Linked DNA regions of Saccharomyces cerevisiae S288C. Each later gene encodes a partner of the first gene's protein in a complex. Each region holds a gene or a part of one and is shown in the gene's direction. Other genes may lie near its edges.

Region 1 (5,847 bases):
ATTGGTGTGAAAATAATGTTGCTGGCTGGTGGTGACCTAATAGAGTCAATGGGTGAACCAAACGTTTGGGCGGACGCCGATTTACATCACATTCTCGGTAATTACGGTTGTTTGATTGTCGAACGTACTGGTTCTGATGTAAGGTCTTTTTTGTTATCCCATGATATTATGTATGAACATAGAAGGAATATTCTTATCATCAAGCAACTCATCTATAATGATATTTCTTCCACGAAAGTTCGTCTATTTATCAGACGCGCCATGTCTGTACAATATTTGTTACCTAATTCGGTCATCAGGTATATCCAAGAACATAGACTATATGTGGACCAAACCGAACCTGTTAAGCAAGTTCTTGGAAACAAAGAATGATTTGCCGTCCGGAATTGCTTCGTTCTTTCTTTCATCTTTCTCTTTACAATTTCCAATTTTCCCCTACAGGAATTAATTGGAGGGTACAAGCGAGTAGAAATGTGACATATGACTTACCTATCTGTGTTTTAGTATAGTTTTTTTTTCTGTAGTATAATTCACTTTTACACTAATTTTTTCGCCTTTTTCTCTTAAAGAGCTAATTTCTATAACCTTCAGCGGTTATACCAAATATAAAAAATGGAAGGAAAACAAACAGTAAGAAATAAGCGCAACAGCACGTTAGTTCACCATTGGATTCCAACATTTCAAAATTTAATCTAATGGCAAGAGATATCACATTTTTGACCGTATTTTTAGAAAGTTGTGGCGCTGTAAATAATGATGAGGCAGGAAAATTGTTATCTGCTTGGACTTCAACCGTACGCATTGAGGGACCGGAATCAACCGACTCTAATTCATTATATATTCCACTGCTACCACCTGGAATGTTGAAAGTATGTTTCTCCTAGCAAAATTAAAACCCATCCGTGAATGAAGCGTTACTAACTATAATAACTGGTAGCTTTGTCACTCGTACCAGGAAAAGTGAAGATTAAACTGAATTTTAAAATGAACGATCGATTAGTTACGGAAGAGCAAGAGTTGTTTACAAAATTGCGCGAGATTGTAGGTTCAAGTATTCGCTTTTGGGAGGAACAACTGTTTTATCAAGTTCAAGATGTAAGCACCATAGAAAACCACGTCATTCTCAGTTTAAAATGTACAATTTTAACGGATGCTCAGATAAGTACGTTCATAAGCAAACCCAGAGAGCTTCATACGCATGCCAAAGGATATCCTGAAATCTATTACCTTTCCGAGTTATCAACAACTGTCAATTTTTTTTCTAAAGAGGGAAACTATGTCGAAATAAGCCAGGTTATTCCTCATTTTAATGAATATTTTTCCTCTTTAATAGTGTCTCAATTGGAATTTGAATACCCGATGGTCTTCTCCATGATTTCAAGGCTCCGATTGAAGTGGCAACAAAGTTCGCTCGCTCCGATATCCTACGCCCTAACGAGCAATTCAGTACTTCTTCCAATAATGCTTAACATGATTGCCCAAGACAAATCTTCAACAACCGCGTATCAAATTCTGTGTCGAAGAAGAGGTCCTCCAATTCAGAATTTTCAAATTTTTTCCTTACCGGCTGTAACGTACAATAAGTAGCATGCATAAAATATAATTTAATCAAATACTTTTGGGCAATTAAAATTTTAGTTAACAATAGTTATGCAATGCGCTTTATGTTCATATGATACCGTTTATAAGCTATTGCCATATCCTTATCTTATTGCTTCCAGTAGCCTCGAGTCGACCACTAAAAAGATGTCACTTAAGACGGAAATTATGTAGCTGCACTTCTTTTTTAACAAGTTCGGTCGGCCCTTCAAGTTCTCCTTTCTAAAGCCTCATTATTTATTGCGTAGATGCTAAATGTTATCGCGGTTTAGCTTGCATGTTACGTTTCCGTTTTAGAACCTGGTCGAGTAGCGAATAATGTCTTCAGTTGATGTACTGTTAACAGTAGGTAAGTTGGATGCCTCATTGGCGTTACTGACTACTCAGGATCATCATGTTATTGAGTTTCCTACAGTATTATTACCAGAAAATGTTAAAGCTGGATCTATCATAAAAATGCAAGTTTCACAAAATTTAGAGGAGGAAAAAAAACAAAGGAATCATTTTAAGAGTATACAAGCCAAAATTTTGGAGAAGTATGGTACCCATAAACCGGAGAGCCCAGTTTTGAAAATTGTTAACGTTACGCAAACGAGCTGTGTTCTAGCATGGGATCCATTGAAACTTGGCTCAGCAAAATTGAAATCACTGATCCTTTATAGGAAGGGAATACGTTCAATGGTAATTCCAAATCCATTCAAAGTGACTACCACGAAAATATCCGGTCTTTCCGTTGATACGCCATACGAATTTCAATTGAAACTGATAACCACGTCAGGAACATTATGGTCTGAAAAGGTTATATTGCGTACACATAAGATGACTGACATGTCTGGTATCACTGTATGTTTGGGTCCATTGGATCCATTGAAAGAAATTTCAGACTTACAGATATCCCAATGTTTGTCTCACATCGGGGCGAGACCTTTACAACGTCATGTTGCGATAGATACTACGCATTTTGTCTGTAACGATCTAGACAATGAAGAAAGCAATGAAGAGCTTATAAGGGCAAAACATAACAACATACCAATTGTCAGACCGGAATGGGTGAGAGCTTGTGAGGTTGAGAAAAGAATCGTTGGTGTTAGAGGATTTTACTTAGATGCAGATCAAAGTATACTGAAAAACTACACATTCCCACCAGTTAATGAGGAAGAACTTTCGTACTCAAAGGAGAATGAGCCGGTAGCCGAAGTAGCGGATGAAAATAAGATGCCCGAGGACACAACAGATGTCGAACAGGTTGCATCACCTAATGACAATGAGAGTAATCCTTCAGAAGCTAAGGAACAAGGAGAAAAGAGTGGACATGAAACTGCCCCAGTAAGTCCTGTAGAAGATCCATTGCATGCTTCGACGGCTTTGGAGAATGAAACCACCATCGAAACCGTCAACCCCTCCGTAAGAAGTTTGAAAAGCGAACCTGTTGGTACTCCCAATATAGAGGAAAACAAAGCGGACTCTTCCGCAGAAGCCGTGGTAGAAGAACCGAATGAAGCTGTGGCTGAAAGTTCTCCAAATGAAGAAGCAACGGGACAGAAAAGTGAGGATACCGATACACATTCTAACGAACAAGCTGATAATGGATTTGTACAGACTGAAGAAGTAGCTGAAAACAACATAACCACAGAAAGTGCAGGGGAAAATAACGAACCTGCAGATGATGCAGCAATGGAATTTGGACGTCCAGAAGCTGAAATTGAAACTCCAGAAGTAAATGAGTCTATAGAAGATGCCAATGAACCTGCGGAGGATTCCAATGAACCTGTGGAGGATTCCAACAAACCTGTGAAGGATTCCAACAAACCTGTGGAGGATTCCAACAAACCTGTGGAGGATTCCAACAAACCTGTGGAGGATTCCAACAAACCTGTGGAGGATGCCAATGAACCTGTGGAAGATACCAGTGAACCTGTGGAGGATGCCGGTGAACCCGTACAAGAAACCAACGAGTTTACTACCGACATTGCCTCTCCAAGACATCAAGAAGAAGATATAGAACTTGAAGCCGAACCTAAAGATGCTACCGAAAGTGTTGCAGTCGAGCCATCCAATGAAGATGTAAAACCAGAAGAAAAAGGTTCAGAGGCAGAAGACGATATCAACAACGTTTCCAAGGAGGCTGCCTCTGGTGAGAGTACTACCCACCAAAAAACTGAGGCCTCTGCTTCTCTTGAAAGCAGTGCCGTCACGGAAGAACAAGAGACAACGGAAGCCGAAGTAAATACAGATGACGTTTTGTCCACTAAAGAAGCTAAAAAAAATACTGGCAACAGCAACAGTAATAAGAAGAAGAATAAGAAGAATAAGAAGAAAGGGAAAAAGAAATGATTAATGGATGCCTTCAATGAGTTCCACGACGCACGTTTATTTTTTCGACTGAGAATCCCTCAGCAAATATAATCTATTTTTTATATATCTGTGTATATGTAAGCATGTATAACTAGTTACAAATATGATAACTGCTTTGGCGATCACTTCATTTTCTTGAGAGGGGTACTCAGTAGCCGCCAAGCACGAAATGTCCGTTATTAAAAATTGGGGAGTGAATCTTAAAAGCCCGAAAAGGAAATTCAAAATCTGTCTATTTATAGGCCGTCGCGCTCTACGAAAACGCGAAATTATTCAAACGGAAAACGGAAAAAAATCTAAAAAAAGAAATTAATTGAGAGATCTCACGGAAATGCCGCGAGGAATGTTTCTCGAGGCTGAGCGGCGTGGTCTGTGCAAAAAAATGGCAATTTTTTTGTAGGAGTTTGCATTGGGCCATTCAGAAGGAGCACCGTTAGATGGGATGGTAAATGAATTTGCTGTTTCAGATTTGAATCAATCTTTACCCGTTATTTTTGCCGTTTTGCTTTCATAATCTGCAAATTAACAAAGTCATAAAGAACATAAAGACATCACCCCAGTTTTTACACTCTTTTTTCCTGTGTTTGGTTTAGCACAACTTTCCAATAACCAAGTTGGTTTCAGATCATCCCCATATTATTTTCTAGTTTCATTTACTTACCAAACTCACCATTCAAGGCTTTCAAATTAAGTTACGAGTACAGTGGACCATTTTTTTCTGATTCTTCATATTTTCCGTTATAAGTCTTATAAGGAAGGTATACATTTATATTGCGAATTTGAAAAATAATTTAAAGCTGACTTTGCGTTTTAGGTAGGCTAGAAAAGAATACAACTATCCCTAAACACATTCTAGATTCACGAAGACGCCTCTGCCTCAAAGACATACTATATTTTTACTCTCGTTGAACAAATAGTACCATTATTTCGCTACTTTCGTTGAAGATTGGACATATAAAATACGCAAATCATAGTATGTTGTCTTTCACAACCAAGAATAGTTTCCGCTTATTACTTTTAATACTGTCATGCATATCGACGATACGCGCACAATTTTTCGTGCAATCATCATCTTCGAATTCTTCAGCAGTATCTACTGCACGTTCTTCCGTAAGTAGAGTTAGTTCTTCAAGTTCCATTTTGTCATCCAGTATGGTTTCTTCCTCAAGTGCTGACTCATCTTCCCTTACTTCATCGACATCAAGTAGGTCCCTCGTGTCACATACGAGTTCGTCTACCAGCATTGCCTCCATATCGTTCACATCATTCAGTTTCTCATCAGATTCAAGCACCAGCAGCTCTTCCTCTGCTTCTTCAGATTCTTCATCCTCCTCATCCTTTTCCATCTCTTCGACATCCGCAACTTCTGAATCATCGACGTCTTCTACGCAAACGTCAACATCATCTTCATCCTCACTGTCGTCAACGCCGTCCTCTTCATCATCCCCATCAACAATCACTTCTGCACCTTCAACCTCCTCCACACCATCCACTACTGCCTATAATCAAGGAAGCACTATCACCAGTATTATTAACGGTAAGACGATTCTCTCAAATCATTATACTACCGTTACGTACACACCATCAGCAACCGCTGATTCAAGCAATAAATCCAAAAGTTCGGGTCTTTCTAAAAAAAATAGAAACATCGTCATTGGTTGTGTGGTTGGTATTGGTGTACCACTGATTCTGGTGATACTGGCTTTAATTTACATGTTTTGTATCCAATCATCAAGGACGGACTTTATTGACTCAGATGGTAAGGTCGTTACGGCATATAGAGCTAACAAATTTACGAAATGGTGGTATATGCTTTTGGGTAAGAAAGTTAGTGATGAATACCACTCCGATTCACCATTAGGTGGTAGTGCATCGTCCGCAGGTGGTTTAGAC
Region 2 (5,962 bases), on another chromosome or scaffold:
GAGAATTAGTATGGTACAGGATACGCTAATTGCGCTCCAACTACCAAGGTTGTTGAGGGAACACTGGGGCAATAGGCTGTCGCCATTCAAGAGCAGCAACAGGCATGGGAAGATTCGCTTTTTTTTTTTGAATTACAATAGTATGTCTGATGTCTGCAAGAAGTAACAGGCGTGTGCACAAGAATACGTGTGTGTGCGTAAGCGTATGCACTGGTGGCATAACTTATCTAAGAAGTATATATCACTGACATAGAAATGTAGATATACAGGTATTTTTCTCGATAATCGATAAAAATCTCGTCGCGCTGAACCAAACTTGGTGGTTACGGAGAGTTTTTCTCTCATCATTACTGTCTTTCGCATTGATTTCCCCTTTGACCGATAAAATCCCTTGGATTCATAAGATTAAACAAAGAGGTGATCAAAGAGAACCCTGTGAAAGTTTATGTTTATAACCGGGCATAAAGTGAACTAGACACTTTCAAGAAGCCAACCAAAGCATGAGTAACGAAGCTTACCAGCATGATCATACCGTAAATCCTCACCAGAAGATAGTTGTGAACAGCTACGATTGGTTACAGTTCCGTGATGAGCAAGATCACTGTAAAAGTAAGAACCCGATAACGCACGCTTCTCCAGGGGTCGGTTCGAATGCACAGAATTCAGACATAGCGGAGGCCCCTCAGGTATTCCACCCTTCCTATCAATCTCTGGTCAACGTACCGTCCGAGAGCCCGCGACCTGATCAGACTTCAGGGTCCAATCCTGCCGTTGGACTGCTTCATAATGCAGAGGACAAAGCGTCAGGGCAAGAAGAAGAAGGAAGTCAATATGAGATTCAATATTCGGTATTTCGTCCGCTGCATGCATATCCAACCAAGGGCCTAGCATATGAGCAGCTCCGAAGAAAAGAAGAACAAGAACAGAGGGAAAACTTCAACCATTTGGTTTCTGACTGTATTGAGGCTGTAGAGACATTTGGACGCGAACTCGAGAGAATCCAAACTGGCTCAAGTGGGTCGTACTTTGTGTATGGAACACGGGCCGACGAAAGCGTTCCGGTGGGGGTCTTCAAGCCCAAGGATGAGGAACCATATGGCCCATTTTCTCCCAAATGGACCAAATGGGCACACCGCACGTTTTTCCCATGTCTGTTTGGCAGAAGTTGTCTGATTCCAAACCTCGGGTACATCTGTGAAAGTGCGGCTAGTTTGTTGGATAGGCGACTGGAAACGCATCTAGTACCCTATACAGATACTGCATCTATAGAGTCTTTTAATTTTTATGATAATAGAAAAAAATGGGTATTGGGATACAACCTTCAGAAGAAGAAACAAAAAAAGCTGGGTTCTTTCCAACTTTTTTTGAAGGAGTACATCAACGCCGATGAGTTCTTTCATAAATACCCATTACCTGGGATGTATTCAGATGTTAAACATTCATTTCATCGTAAGTCATCCGGCGAAGATATCAATCATAAACCAGAGACAACCAGGAACCTAACAGATGAGACAGAACCGTCCAAGCAAATAAATTCCTCTCCAATTTCGACGGAATCTGAAGAAAATTCGAAATTTGAATGGACAGAATCAAGTTTGAGTCAGTTCAGATTGGAACTAGAAAAACTAATTATCCTTGATTATATAATGAGAAACACAGATAGAGGTCTAGACAATTGGATGGTGAAACTAATCAAACTTTCAAACAATAAGTGGAGACTCAAGTTAGCCGCCATCGACAATGGGTTGTCCTTTCCCTGGAAGCATCCTGATGAGTGGCGTCTGTACCCATATGGCTGGTTGTATTTGCCTCTGCAACTACTAGCCAAACCATTTTCTGAGCAAATGAGATCTCATTTCCTACCGATATTGACAAGCACTAATTGGTGGGAAGAGTCGTACCAAGAATTCTTGGCCCTATTTAGCAGGGACCAAGATTTTAACGTCCGAATGTGGAAGAAGCAATGGGCAGTATTAAAAGGACAGGCGTTCAACGTTGTCGAAACATTGAAAGACCCACGACAAGGCCCCTTGGAATTGGTTAGAAGGACAAGGTGCCAGGTAATAGATGAGAAGATGCAAGTTCCCTGTTGCCCACCTCCAGTTTCTATTTTCAAAAACGCCATAGACGAACCTATTGGATCATATTCCACTTCACCAATGGTACTCCCTAGCACCCCAAGCACAATTCCATTTCATGCACATAACCAAAGCAATAGTAATCCTGTATACTATGATTCCACTCTGCACCCATTTGCTAATAAAACAGTGATAGCAGAGCGGCTACAAATAGTCAATTCCACCCCCGTATTCACCTGGTGTTGATTTTTTGGAAAATAATTCAATACATACTCAATATAAAGAAATCATAACTCTACTTTAGCATATAGGAAATAGACTCTTTCGAAAAAACCTCTTTCTGTAGTGTTAGAAAGCAACCGGCTATTATTTTTGTGTGTCTTCGAAAAATCGGAACCCAAACAGATCTTAGCGGATTCATGGTAAAAATAGCCTTGAAGAATTTAGGAAAATAAATAGATACTCAAAAAGGAATAGAGGATCTTAACAAATCATTACATTACTTAACTCACATTAAAAGCAAACACCTTTCTTAAGCTGTTGGTGCAAAAAAGGATTACATCTATTGCCCTTATGAATTTGTTTTGGCCATCGGAAACCAAAAAGCAAAATGAAATACCTGGTGGCGATTATACACCTGGGAACTCACCTTCAGTACAAAAGGGTTATCAATTCCTCAATCGAGACATATTTAAAAGTTGTCCACGAATTATGGAAAGGCAGTTTGGTGAGTGTCTGCACAATAGAACGCATTTAATCAAGGATTTAATTTCTTCTGGCAATGTTGGACTAGGTCCCATTGAGATTGTTCACATGTCCTACTTAAACAAACATGAAAAAGAAGAGTTTGGTGAATATTTCTACGTTACAGGGATCGAAGTTTCCGGTCCTGCAATGCCCGTAGAGTTTCTTGAAGTGCTAAAATCGAGTAAGCGGATTTCCAAAAATATATCGAATAATATCATATTGACTTATTGCTGTTTTAATTTTTTCAGCAATCTAGACATCCGTATTAGATACGATGCTGACGATACTTTCCAGACAACGGCAATTGACTGTAACAAGGAAACCACTGACCTGACCATGACAGAAAAAATGTGGGAAGAAACGTTCGCAAGTTCTGTCATCCGAGCGATAATAACAAATACTAATCCAGAGTTAAAACCTCCCGGTTTAGTAGAGTGTCCATTCTACGTTGGAAAAGATACTATCTCCTCTTGCAAAAAGATCATAGAATTACTCTGCCGATTCTTACCACGGTCACTGAATTGCGGGTGGGATTCTACCAAGAGTATGCAAGCCACCATTGTCAATAACTATTTAATGTATAGTTTAAAAAGTTTTATTGCAATCACGCCAAGCCTAGTGGATTTTACAATCGACTACCTGAAAGGACTTACCAAGAAAGATCCAATCCATGACATATACTACAAGACGGCTATGATCACAATTCTAGATCACATAGAAACAAAGGAGTTAGACATGATAACTATTTTAAATGAGACGCTCGACCCCCTTTTATCTCTGCTAAATGATTTACCGCCTCGCGATGCTGATTCAGCACGATTAATGAATTGCATGAGTGACTTGCTGAACATTCAAACAAATTTTTTGTTAAACAGGGGTGATTACGAACTAGCATTAGGCGTCTCTAACACATCAACCGAACTAGCCTTAGACTCTTTTGAATCTTGGTACAACCTAGCGAGATGCCACATCAAAAAAGAGGAGTATGAAAAGGCTCTCTTCGCAATAAATTCAATGCCTCGTTTGCGCAAAAATGATGGACACCTGGAAACAATGTACAGTAGGTTTCTTACCTCCAATTATTATAAAAAGCCATTGAATGGTACCCGCGAACACTACGACTTGACTGCAATGGAATTCACGAATCTCTCGGGAACGTTGAGGAATTGGAAAGAGGATGAGTTAAAACGGCAAATTTTTGGAAGAATCGCAATGATAAACGAAAAAAAAATCGGTTATACAAAGGAAATCTGGGATGATATTGCGATAAAGTTGGGTCCGATTTGTGGTCCACAATCTGTGAATCTGATTAATTATGTCTCCCCTCAAGAGGTCAAAAACATAAAAAATATCAATTTAATAGCAAGGAATACGATCGGCAAACAATTGGGATGGTTTAGTGGTAAAATATATGGGTTATTAATGGAAATTGTGAACAAAATTGGTTGGAATGGCTTATTAAACATCCGAACAGAAGCTTTCATGATGGAAACTGAATTCTATCAAGCTTCTAACAACATTATCGATGAAAACGGTCATATACCGATGGAATCCCGAAAGAAAAGGTTTTGTGAAGGGTGGCTAGATGATTTATTTTTAGATTTATATCAAGACTTGAAATTGAGCAAGATTAGCCTAAGCAATAAAGATGAAAAACACAGCGGATTAGAGTGGGAACTTTTGGGTTTGATCATGCTGCGTACCTGGCATTGGGAAGATGCCGTAGCTTGTCTAAGAACAAGCATAGTAGCTCGATTCGACCCCGTAAGTTGCCAGCAGCTGCTAAAAATATACCTGCAACCTCCAAAAAATATTCAAGAGGTTACATTACTAGACACAGATACCATAATAAGTTTATTAATTAAGAAAATATCATATGATTGCAGGTATTATAATTATTGCCAGATATTTAATCTGCAACTGCTAGAAAAGCTATGCAACGAATTGGGGACGCATATACTGCGTAATAAGATCCTTCTTCAACCTTCCATAGGAGACGAAATCATGGTCATGATCGATGCCATGCTTGCGTGGATAGCCGACCTAGATCACACAGTACAACCTTGAACAAAACGGTGCTCTTAGTATTATTATATAACCACTACGGTTGGATGGACTGAGGGTAAGGGTAACCGTATACCTTTTATTTTTTTTTTTACATTTTGAACTGGGAAGAAAATTTTTTTTGCGAGGGATTGACGGCTAACGCCAAAACACTCCGAAGAGAATGAGAAAAGCTTGGGCATCGCTCGAAGTCATCGAACGGGACTATTTTTGTTTAAAATTTCACCAGATCTGCTTGATAAGGGTAGTTTAGCTTGTGTATTTGGGAAAGGTACGCAAAAGATATATTTTACTAAGATCTTTAAATATTTTTAGCTTGAGGTAATACATGCTAATTTTAGTTGATTAGAGATTCTGAAAAATTCGTTTTAGTTAGTGTTTAAGAATAGTGGCGTTTATCGTTTTGCCCATTTAATAATTAGGAAAAAATATGTCAGGGTCCTTTTGGAAGTTTGGACAAGATTTTGGTTCACAGTCTCCATTAGCTAAACTGTTGAACAGGGCTTTCATTAAGATCGATGATAAGCCCACTAGTACGGAAGCAGGGAAAATTGACTCTAATAGCACAGATGAAAGTTTAGAAAGCAATTCTTTTAAATCAGAAGACGAAGAAGAAGAATATGAGCTGCCTAACAGAGAAGAAGACTACAAAGCTTATAAGCCAAACCTGTCTCTACTGAATGATCTTTTAGATGATGAGGAGTTATATACAGAACTGATGTGCTCGAACTTCAAGCTACTAGTGTACTTGAAGTACCCTGAAGTTTTGTCCAAATTGATAGATTATGTCAGAAATAGTACCATACTTGAGTCCAATATTGATAGAGTTACTTCAGAAGACAGAGATTTAGTACGTGGTGAAGACAAGGACACAACGGAGGACTTTGAGAATGCTAAAGCAGATAAGAAAAACATTGATGGTACTTTTGAAGAAAAAGAACGTACTCGTAGTGGTGAAGAAGAGGAACTGGAAAATGAAGAAAATGATAGTGCATCTGAGGATACTAGAGTCACTCTACCTCATGAACTAGAGGAACATGATGATACGCGAAGAGCCAGAATAGCGGCCGAAA
Region 3 (5,926 bases), on another chromosome or scaffold:
TAACCAAATTATTAAATGACAGGTATATGACGTATGATAATAAAAAACTTGAAGGGCTACCTAATTCTGATTTAATTGTTCCTTTGGTGCAGAGGTTCGTTAAAGTTAAAAAGTACTATGAGTTGAATAAAGAGTGCTTCAAAAATAATGGTAAATTTCAGATTGAATGGGTAAAAGGACACGATGGTGATCCAGGAAATGAAATGGCAGATTTTCTGGCGAAGAAAGGAGCATCTAGACGATAATGCTGTTTTTTGCTTGGCTTCTTACTGGACCTGTTGTACCTGTAATAGAAATATATATTTTATATCTTTTGCATACATATACATACATCAGCTATTTGGTTTTTTAACTTACCCGATAACTATCTATAAGCGTGTCACCATGATATTTGCCTGAACCTCGTCCACAGTTGATTGTGTTTATTTTTACTTTTATTCATAGCTATTTGATTTCAGTTTCAGCTAAACGTTCAGCAAGATCATCTACTTGTACTTCTAGCAGTTCCTTTTCAAGCCTTTCCGTTTCAATTTCTTCGAGTTTTTCATCCTCGTCCTCGTCTTCCTCGTCCTCGCCTTCCTCATCTTCACTATCGACCTCTTCAAAATCGTCAACCTCTAAATCATCAAATTTGCTTTGGAGCAAATCTAAAGCATCAGAATCTTCATCTAATCTGTTACCATTTATTTCTAGCTTTTCCAATTCAGGTAAATTTCCCTTTTCCATAGCCGGTAAGAAGGATACTTCAATGGTTTCTTGAGCCATTTCATTATATTCGAATTTCAAGACATGCAAATTGGGGAATTTAACTTCGGTGAATACTTTAAAGACTTCATCTGAACCAGCAGTTTTCAAAAGACAGTCGTTCAAATTCAATTCAAATAAACTATCCTTCCATGTAGGCAAGGCCTTAGCAAGGATCAAAGAAGCATGTTTCGTGAAAGTATTGTCTTGAAGATCCAAGATTTCCAAGTTTTTCAAGTACTGTAAACCGTAATGAATTAGCGTGGCGACACCTTTAGGCCTAATACCATTTTGGTACAGCTTTACGACTTTCAAACCTTCGGAGTGGCTTTTCAAACCCAGAGCTAAGTAGACTGCGGATCCATTCTCTAATCTATTTCTACCACAGATAAAAGTTTCCAAAAATGGTTTGGAAGCAGCTTTCTTATTTTGAGCGAGATGAAATAGGGCCTTACCAATCCTTTCACCAGCAAAAGGGCCCATACCATTGTTACTTAAGATCAAATGTTTGATATTCACGGCATGTGCAATGTAATCTTCTAGTAACTCGATTGTTCTTAGCCCAAACGCATTATCAGAAAGGTTCACAATCTCCAAGTGAGGACATTTCAACAGAACAGGCAATAAAAACTTCAACGAATCAACGACTTCGTCAACCAACCTCGAAGTGTATAAGTCAGCAAAATTTACTTCAACCAAAGATTCCCTGACCTGTGTATTTTCAGCGATGCATTTAGCTAATGCTTCCGAAGCTTCAGTACCGATTGTATTCCCTGAAAGGTCTAATTTGGTACAGGTTTTCAAAGCTGCCAATTCTTCCAGGTATGGTTTGATATCGTCACTGGTTGTTAACTTGAGTGCCTTCCCAGAGATGGAGTAAACTTGTTCTTCCTCGTGCTGAGGAACGAAGTGCAAGGTAGCCATAGCTAAAAATCTGTTTCGAAAGACAGCCTGTTAAAATGGCCTATATTCACCTTTTACCGTGATATTATGCCTTTGATCAATATCTTCCTAATAAATTTTTTTCCATTAATTGTCCCACAACGTGCATAGTGACATGCATTCCATGACCAAACTAAGAGCTTTAAATCAAAAGTAGAATTTGACATTATGAAACAACACGACAACAAGAAAAGACTAGAGGACTTCACAGACCATTATGAACGGCGGAGGCAAGAATGTTTTGAATAAAAACTCAGTGGGCTCAGTATCAGAAGTTGGTCCGGACTCAACACAAGAGGAAACGCCACGAGATGTCCGTCTTTTGCATCTGCTCCTCGCATCACAGTCGATTCATCAATATGAGGACCAAGTACCGCTACAATTGATGGATTTTGCACATAGGTACACACAAGGAGTCCTTAAGGACGCGTTGGTTTACAACGACTACGCTGGCAGTGGAAATTCTGCCGGCAGTGGATTAGGAGTAGAAGACATACGGCTTGCCATTGCAGCGAGAACACAATACCAATTTAAGCCTACGGCACCTAAGGAGCTCATGTTACAGTTAGCTGCGGAAAGAAACAAGAAGGCATTACCTCAAGTGATGGGTACGTGGGGTGTCAGGCTTCCCCCAGAAAAATATTGTCTCACAGCGAAGGAGTGGGACCTTGAGGACCCAAAGTCTATGTGAATGCACCGCTTATATATCATAAGTACACTAAATCAAGTTCTTCCGGAAGATGCGTCATGTAGAATGCATAATAGAGTAATATACACTAAATAATGCGCTAGTCGTGTATCGTGATCATGTTCTCTAATGTTCTTTTTCCTGCCTGCCCTTTCCTACATGGAAAGTTAGAGAAATGAGATCTACACGATAATGTAGTAACAAATGGACCCTTAAACATCTCAATTCATCTTCTTGAGAGCACTTTCCGCGCTGTATTGATTTTTAGAACGTGAAAAGGATAAACTGAAAACTTGAAGTCCTAACCATGTTGTCTCAAACCTCCATACCGGAAGTGAAAGAAGACGTGATAGGCTATGCGCTACACCAGAGGAGAGCCAGAGTGGGACAATTCCAAGACTTGGGTCCGCCTGATTTAATTACTTTGATCAAATCGTTACCTTCATCCTCGAGCACAACAACTGCTACTGCCTCCGCCAACGATAACGGAGCAACTTCAAACATCAATGGACAAGATCCTACGACCATAGTTACGGAGTTACATTCCCATGACAAATTAAAGGGGCAGATCGGCACTTTCTTTTACTGTATGGGTATCGATACTTCGGATCCAACTTCTATTACAATCTTTGCCAAAAAGATAACCGATCTTTTCTTAGACACGCCCCAAATTTGGTTTGGTAAGAAGAAGCACTTTCACGTATCGAAGATTTCTATCAGTTCTTGGAATGCGTTTAGGAAATATGATGTTAACATTATAGTTCACATTCCAGGAACTGTGCAAACCTACATTATAAATAGCGACGGTGAACAATCGCAACTTCCCTCCGTGGCAGAAGCGTCATCTGGCCGCAACTCACAGGATTTAAACGTCAACATGATTTGGGCGGAAACGTTTATGAGTGGTATTGTACGTGACATTATGATTATGAAAGATAATCGTGCGGATGGAGAATCCCAGAATTTGGTAGAAACACTAATTTTCAATCCATTTACCTCGGGTGAGTTGGAAGATGTTGCCAATAACTTTATTAAACTGTTCCCCTTGGTCTATGAAAAAGGTGTTTATTTAGATGCACCTACTCACGTTTTAAATCCCTCGTTAACCAATAATTATTTAGTGGAAACTTTAGTGGAAATAGTTAGGTTAACTAAGAGTTTGGAAGCATGTCGTAAAATGCTCAAGAAGTTAATAGAAATTCATCCAGAAGCAGTAATAATATTAATTCGTGTTTATTTTGCGTGCGATTTAGAGATAGATGCAGTTGACCTGATCAACGAGCAACTAAATTCCCCCTCTTCGTTCTTAGCCGACGATTCAAAGACTAGCCATATCCAGCTAATCTTCAAATCCGAATTATTAAGTATTCAAAGTGAATTCTTACTGGATGTCAAGAGAGATTACAAGCTTGCTAAGGAAGTAGCCATGGAGGCTGTTAACTGTGCACCAAACGAATTTAAAACTTGGTATTTATTGACTAGAATATACATTAAACTAAACGATATGTCAAATGCCTTGCTATCGTTAAACGCCTGCCCCATGTCACAGGTTAAGGAAAAATACGTTCTTAGAAGAATTGCGCCTATTACTTCAGATGAAAATCTTCATCTGCCATTACCATTGGATGCCTCAATTGAGGAGATTTCGTCATTGAACCCCATGGATGTCCAGTTGGAGCAAAAGTCCGCAGATCCAAACCTAGTCAATCTCTCTGCGTCAAGTTTAAAGTCTACTTTCCAACTAGCCTATAAATTATTGACAGAAATTGTCCAAATAACAGGATGGGAGCAGCTGTTGAAATATAGATCAAAAATTTTCGTTATGGAAGACGAGTACCAAGGCTCCACTTCTTCCATTGATGAAGCAGAAGTTCGCGGTAATGATATATCCAAAATGAGATCAAAGAGGCTATGCGAAAGATGGTTGGATAATCTCTTCATGTTACTATACGAAGATTTGAAAACTTACACCGATTGGCAATCAGAGCAATTGTATTTTGATGCTCAAAACAGTAAATATCACAAATTAACTGTTGAATGGGAATTATTCGGCCTTTGTGCGAAAAGACTGGGACATCTTCCAGAAGCTGCGAAGGCTTTCCAAATTGGGCTTTCCCAAAGATTTTCTCCAGTATGCGCAAAGAATCTATTACAGTTTTACATTGACGAGCATAAGCGTATTAGGAGGGATTCAGTCTCAGCAAACTCCGAGTTAACCTCTTCTCAAATATTGTCAAGTATCAATGACATCGACAGCTCAATCATCGATCTAGTAGTCAAGATTTGTTGCTGGAATCATCGTTGGTACATCGAGTTCTCAATAATATTAATAGATGCTCTGAGTGTTGCAGTACAAGATATGGGCATTACTAAAGTACATAATGAAATTGCCTCTAGATTTTCTGACCCAGTAGCCCAATTGATTGACGATAACATTCTAAATTTTCTGAAGAATTTCACGAATGACACTTTCGATAATTAGAAAAAGATGAATACAATCAATAAAAAGGTGAAAGAAATCAATTAACAAGAAACGGGTTATGTATTTTATGTATGATATCCTGGCATTGTCATGTATAGGTCACCTTCTTGGGGAATTTCCCATTTTCAAGTTATTCTGCCTCTAATGCGATAACCGTAATCTTAAATTGTTTAATTTCTTTTTCACAATCTGAGCCACGCCCGAAAAAAAAACAATGTAATCCGCGTAAAGCGAAACTGAGTATAACCCAAAAATAGAATGTAAATTAATGAAAAGCCCATTTCTCCAAAAGATCAGCTTTACTCAAATATCTAATTAAGTAATTGACTGTGTACATTGTCCTTTATCTCATTTTGAATCACCTTTATTAATTTTTGGTTGTTATATAGGACGAACAAATTAGAACGAAATCATATCCAGAACGCAGATATGATCGTCAATATTAGTGCGAAGATGATCTTATCGATATGCTTTACGTTTCTGTCATTTTTTAAAGCCACTCATGCCATGGATTTGGATACTACTAGCAAAACGTCAATTTGTGATGCGACAGCGTTAATTCAAGGTGGTATGCTGGATTACTATGAGGGTACTAGATACGGTGGTACCGTTGGGATGTTTCAGTCACCATACTATTGGTGGCATGCAGGGGAAGCATTTGGTGGCATGTTGGAAAATTGGTTTCTTTGTGAGAATGATACATATCAAGAATTACTATACGATGCACTATTAGCGCAAACTGGTTCCAATTACGATTATATCCCGTCCAACCAAACGATGGTTGAGGGGAATGATGACCAAGGTATTTGGGGTATTACTGTTATGGGTGCTGTCGAGAGAAATTTTACAGACCCCGGTGACGGCAAGCCAGGTTGGTTGGCAATGGTACAAGCTGTTTTCAACACCATGTACTCAAGATGGGATTCAGAGCACTGTGGCGGTGGTCTGAGATGGCAAATTTTCACTTGGAATAGTGGTTATAATTATAAAAATACAGTTTCAAATGCATGTTTGTTCCAGATTGCGGCGAGGTTGGGCAGATATACTGGTAACACTACATATTTGGAGGT

What was found.
Region 2: the proteins of CHS5 (region 1) and CHS6 are in contact, whole or in part, in a crystal structure (PDB 4YG8), measured with the Saccharomyces cerevisiae proteins. Residues at the interface, in NP_013434.1 of Saccharomyces cerevisiae: Glu56 (codon at 2,083), Gln59 (codon at 2,092), Arg60 (codon at 2,095), Phe63 (codon at 2,104), Lys64 (codon at 2,107), Ile66 (codon at 2,113), Gln67 (codon at 2,116), Lys69 (codon at 2,122), Ile70 (codon at 2,125), Leu71 (codon at 2,128), Lys73 (codon at 2,134), Tyr74 (codon at 2,137), Gly75 (codon at 2,140), Thr76 (codon at 2,143), His77 (codon at 2,146); in NP_012436.1 of Saccharomyces cerevisiae: Glu301 (codon at 3,552), Leu302 (codon at 3,555), Ile305 (codon at 3,564), Thr306 (codon at 3,567), Asn309 (codon at 3,576), Leu312 (codon at 3,585), Asp313 (codon at 3,588), Leu316 (codon at 3,597), Asn320 (codon at 3,609), Met336 (codon at 3,657), Leu340 (codon at 3,669), Gln343 (codon at 3,678), Phe346 (codon at 3,687), Leu347 (codon at 3,690), Arg350 (codon at 3,699), Asp352 (codon at 3,705), Leu355 (codon at 3,714), Gly358 (codon at 3,723), Val359 (codon at 3,726), Thr362 (codon at 3,735), Glu365 (codon at 3,744).
Region 3: the proteins of CHS5 (region 1) and BCH1 are in contact, whole or in part, in a crystal structure (PDB 4Q66), measured with the Saccharomyces cerevisiae proteins. Residues at the interface, in NP_013434.1 of Saccharomyces cerevisiae: Ala15 (codon at 1,960), Ser16 (codon at 1,963), Gln59 (codon at 2,092), His62 (codon at 2,101), Phe63 (codon at 2,104), Lys64 (codon at 2,107), Ile66 (codon at 2,113), Gln67 (codon at 2,116), Ala68 (codon at 2,119), Lys69 (codon at 2,122), Ile70 (codon at 2,125), Leu71 (codon at 2,128), Lys73 (codon at 2,134), Tyr74 (codon at 2,137), Gly75 (codon at 2,140), Thr76 (codon at 2,143), His77 (codon at 2,146), Lys78 (codon at 2,149), Pro79 (codon at 2,152), Ser105 (codon at 2,230), Ala106 (codon at 2,233), Lys107 (codon at 2,236), Lys109 (codon at 2,242), Ser110 (codon at 2,245), Pro124 (codon at 2,287), Asn125 (codon at 2,290), Phe127 (codon at 2,296), Lys128 (codon at 2,299), Thr151 (codon at 2,368), Thr152 (codon at 2,371); in NP_013964.1 of Saccharomyces cerevisiae: Asp314 (codon at 3,621), Leu315 (codon at 3,624), Glu316 (codon at 3,627), Ile317 (codon at 3,630), Asp318 (codon at 3,633), Val320 (codon at 3,639), Asp321 (codon at 3,642), Asn324 (codon at 3,651), Leu327 (codon at 3,660), Asn328 (codon at 3,663), Lys348 (codon at 3,723), Leu352 (codon at 3,735), Gln355 (codon at 3,744), Leu359 (codon at 3,756), Lys363 (codon at 3,768), Asp365 (codon at 3,774), Leu368 (codon at 3,783), Glu371 (codon at 3,792), Val372 (codon at 3,795), Glu375 (codon at 3,804), Val505 (codon at 4,194), Lys533 (codon at 4,278), Arg534 (codon at 4,281), Leu535 (codon at 4,284), Arg626 (codon at 4,557), Arg627 (codon at 4,560), Ser629 (codon at 4,566), Val630 (codon at 4,569), Ser638 (codon at 4,593), Ile641 (codon at 4,602).

What each region holds. Positions count from the first base shown.
Region 1 is NC_001144.5:785,747-791,593, forward strand, and holds CHS5 (Chs5p), read left to right. Parts: upstream 1-1,917; coding exon 1,918-3,933; downstream 3,934-5,847. Other genes in the region: nicotinamide-nucleotide adenylyltransferase NMA1, read left to right, coding at 1-372; REC102 (Rec102p), read left to right, coding at 696-869, 967-1,587; JIP3 (Jip3p), read right to left, coding at 4,923-5,300; MID2 (Mid2p), read left to right, coding at 4,930-5,847. UniProt on the Saccharomyces cerevisiae protein: Component of the CHS5/6 complex which mediates export of specific cargo proteins, including chitin synthase CHS3. Also involved in targeting FUS1 to sites of polarized growth.
Region 2 is NC_001142.9:236,763-242,724, forward strand, and holds CHS6 (Chs6p), read left to right. Parts: upstream 1-2,651; coding exon 2,652-4,892; downstream 4,893-5,962. Other genes in the region: 1-phosphatidylinositol 4-kinase LSB6, read left to right, coding at 501-2,324; SAP185 (Sap185p), read left to right, coding at 5,320-5,962. UniProt on the Saccharomyces cerevisiae protein: Member of the CHS5-ARF1P-binding proteins (CHAPS) which mediates export of specific cargo proteins, including chitin synthase CHS3.
Region 3 is NC_001145.3:741,068-746,993, forward strand, and holds BCH1 (exomer complex subunit), read left to right. Parts: upstream 1-2,681; coding exon 2,682-4,856; downstream 4,857-5,926. Other genes in the region: RNH1 (RNA-DNA hybrid ribonuclease), read left to right, coding at 1-245; GTPase-activating protein RNA1, read right to left, coding at 445-1,668; TAF9 (chromatin modification protein), read left to right, coding at 1,904-2,377; DFG5 (putative mannan endo-1,6-alpha-mannosidase), read left to right, coding at 5,286-5,926. UniProt on the Saccharomyces cerevisiae protein: Member of the CHS5-ARF1P-binding proteins (CHAPS) which mediates export of specific cargo proteins, including chitin synthase CHS3.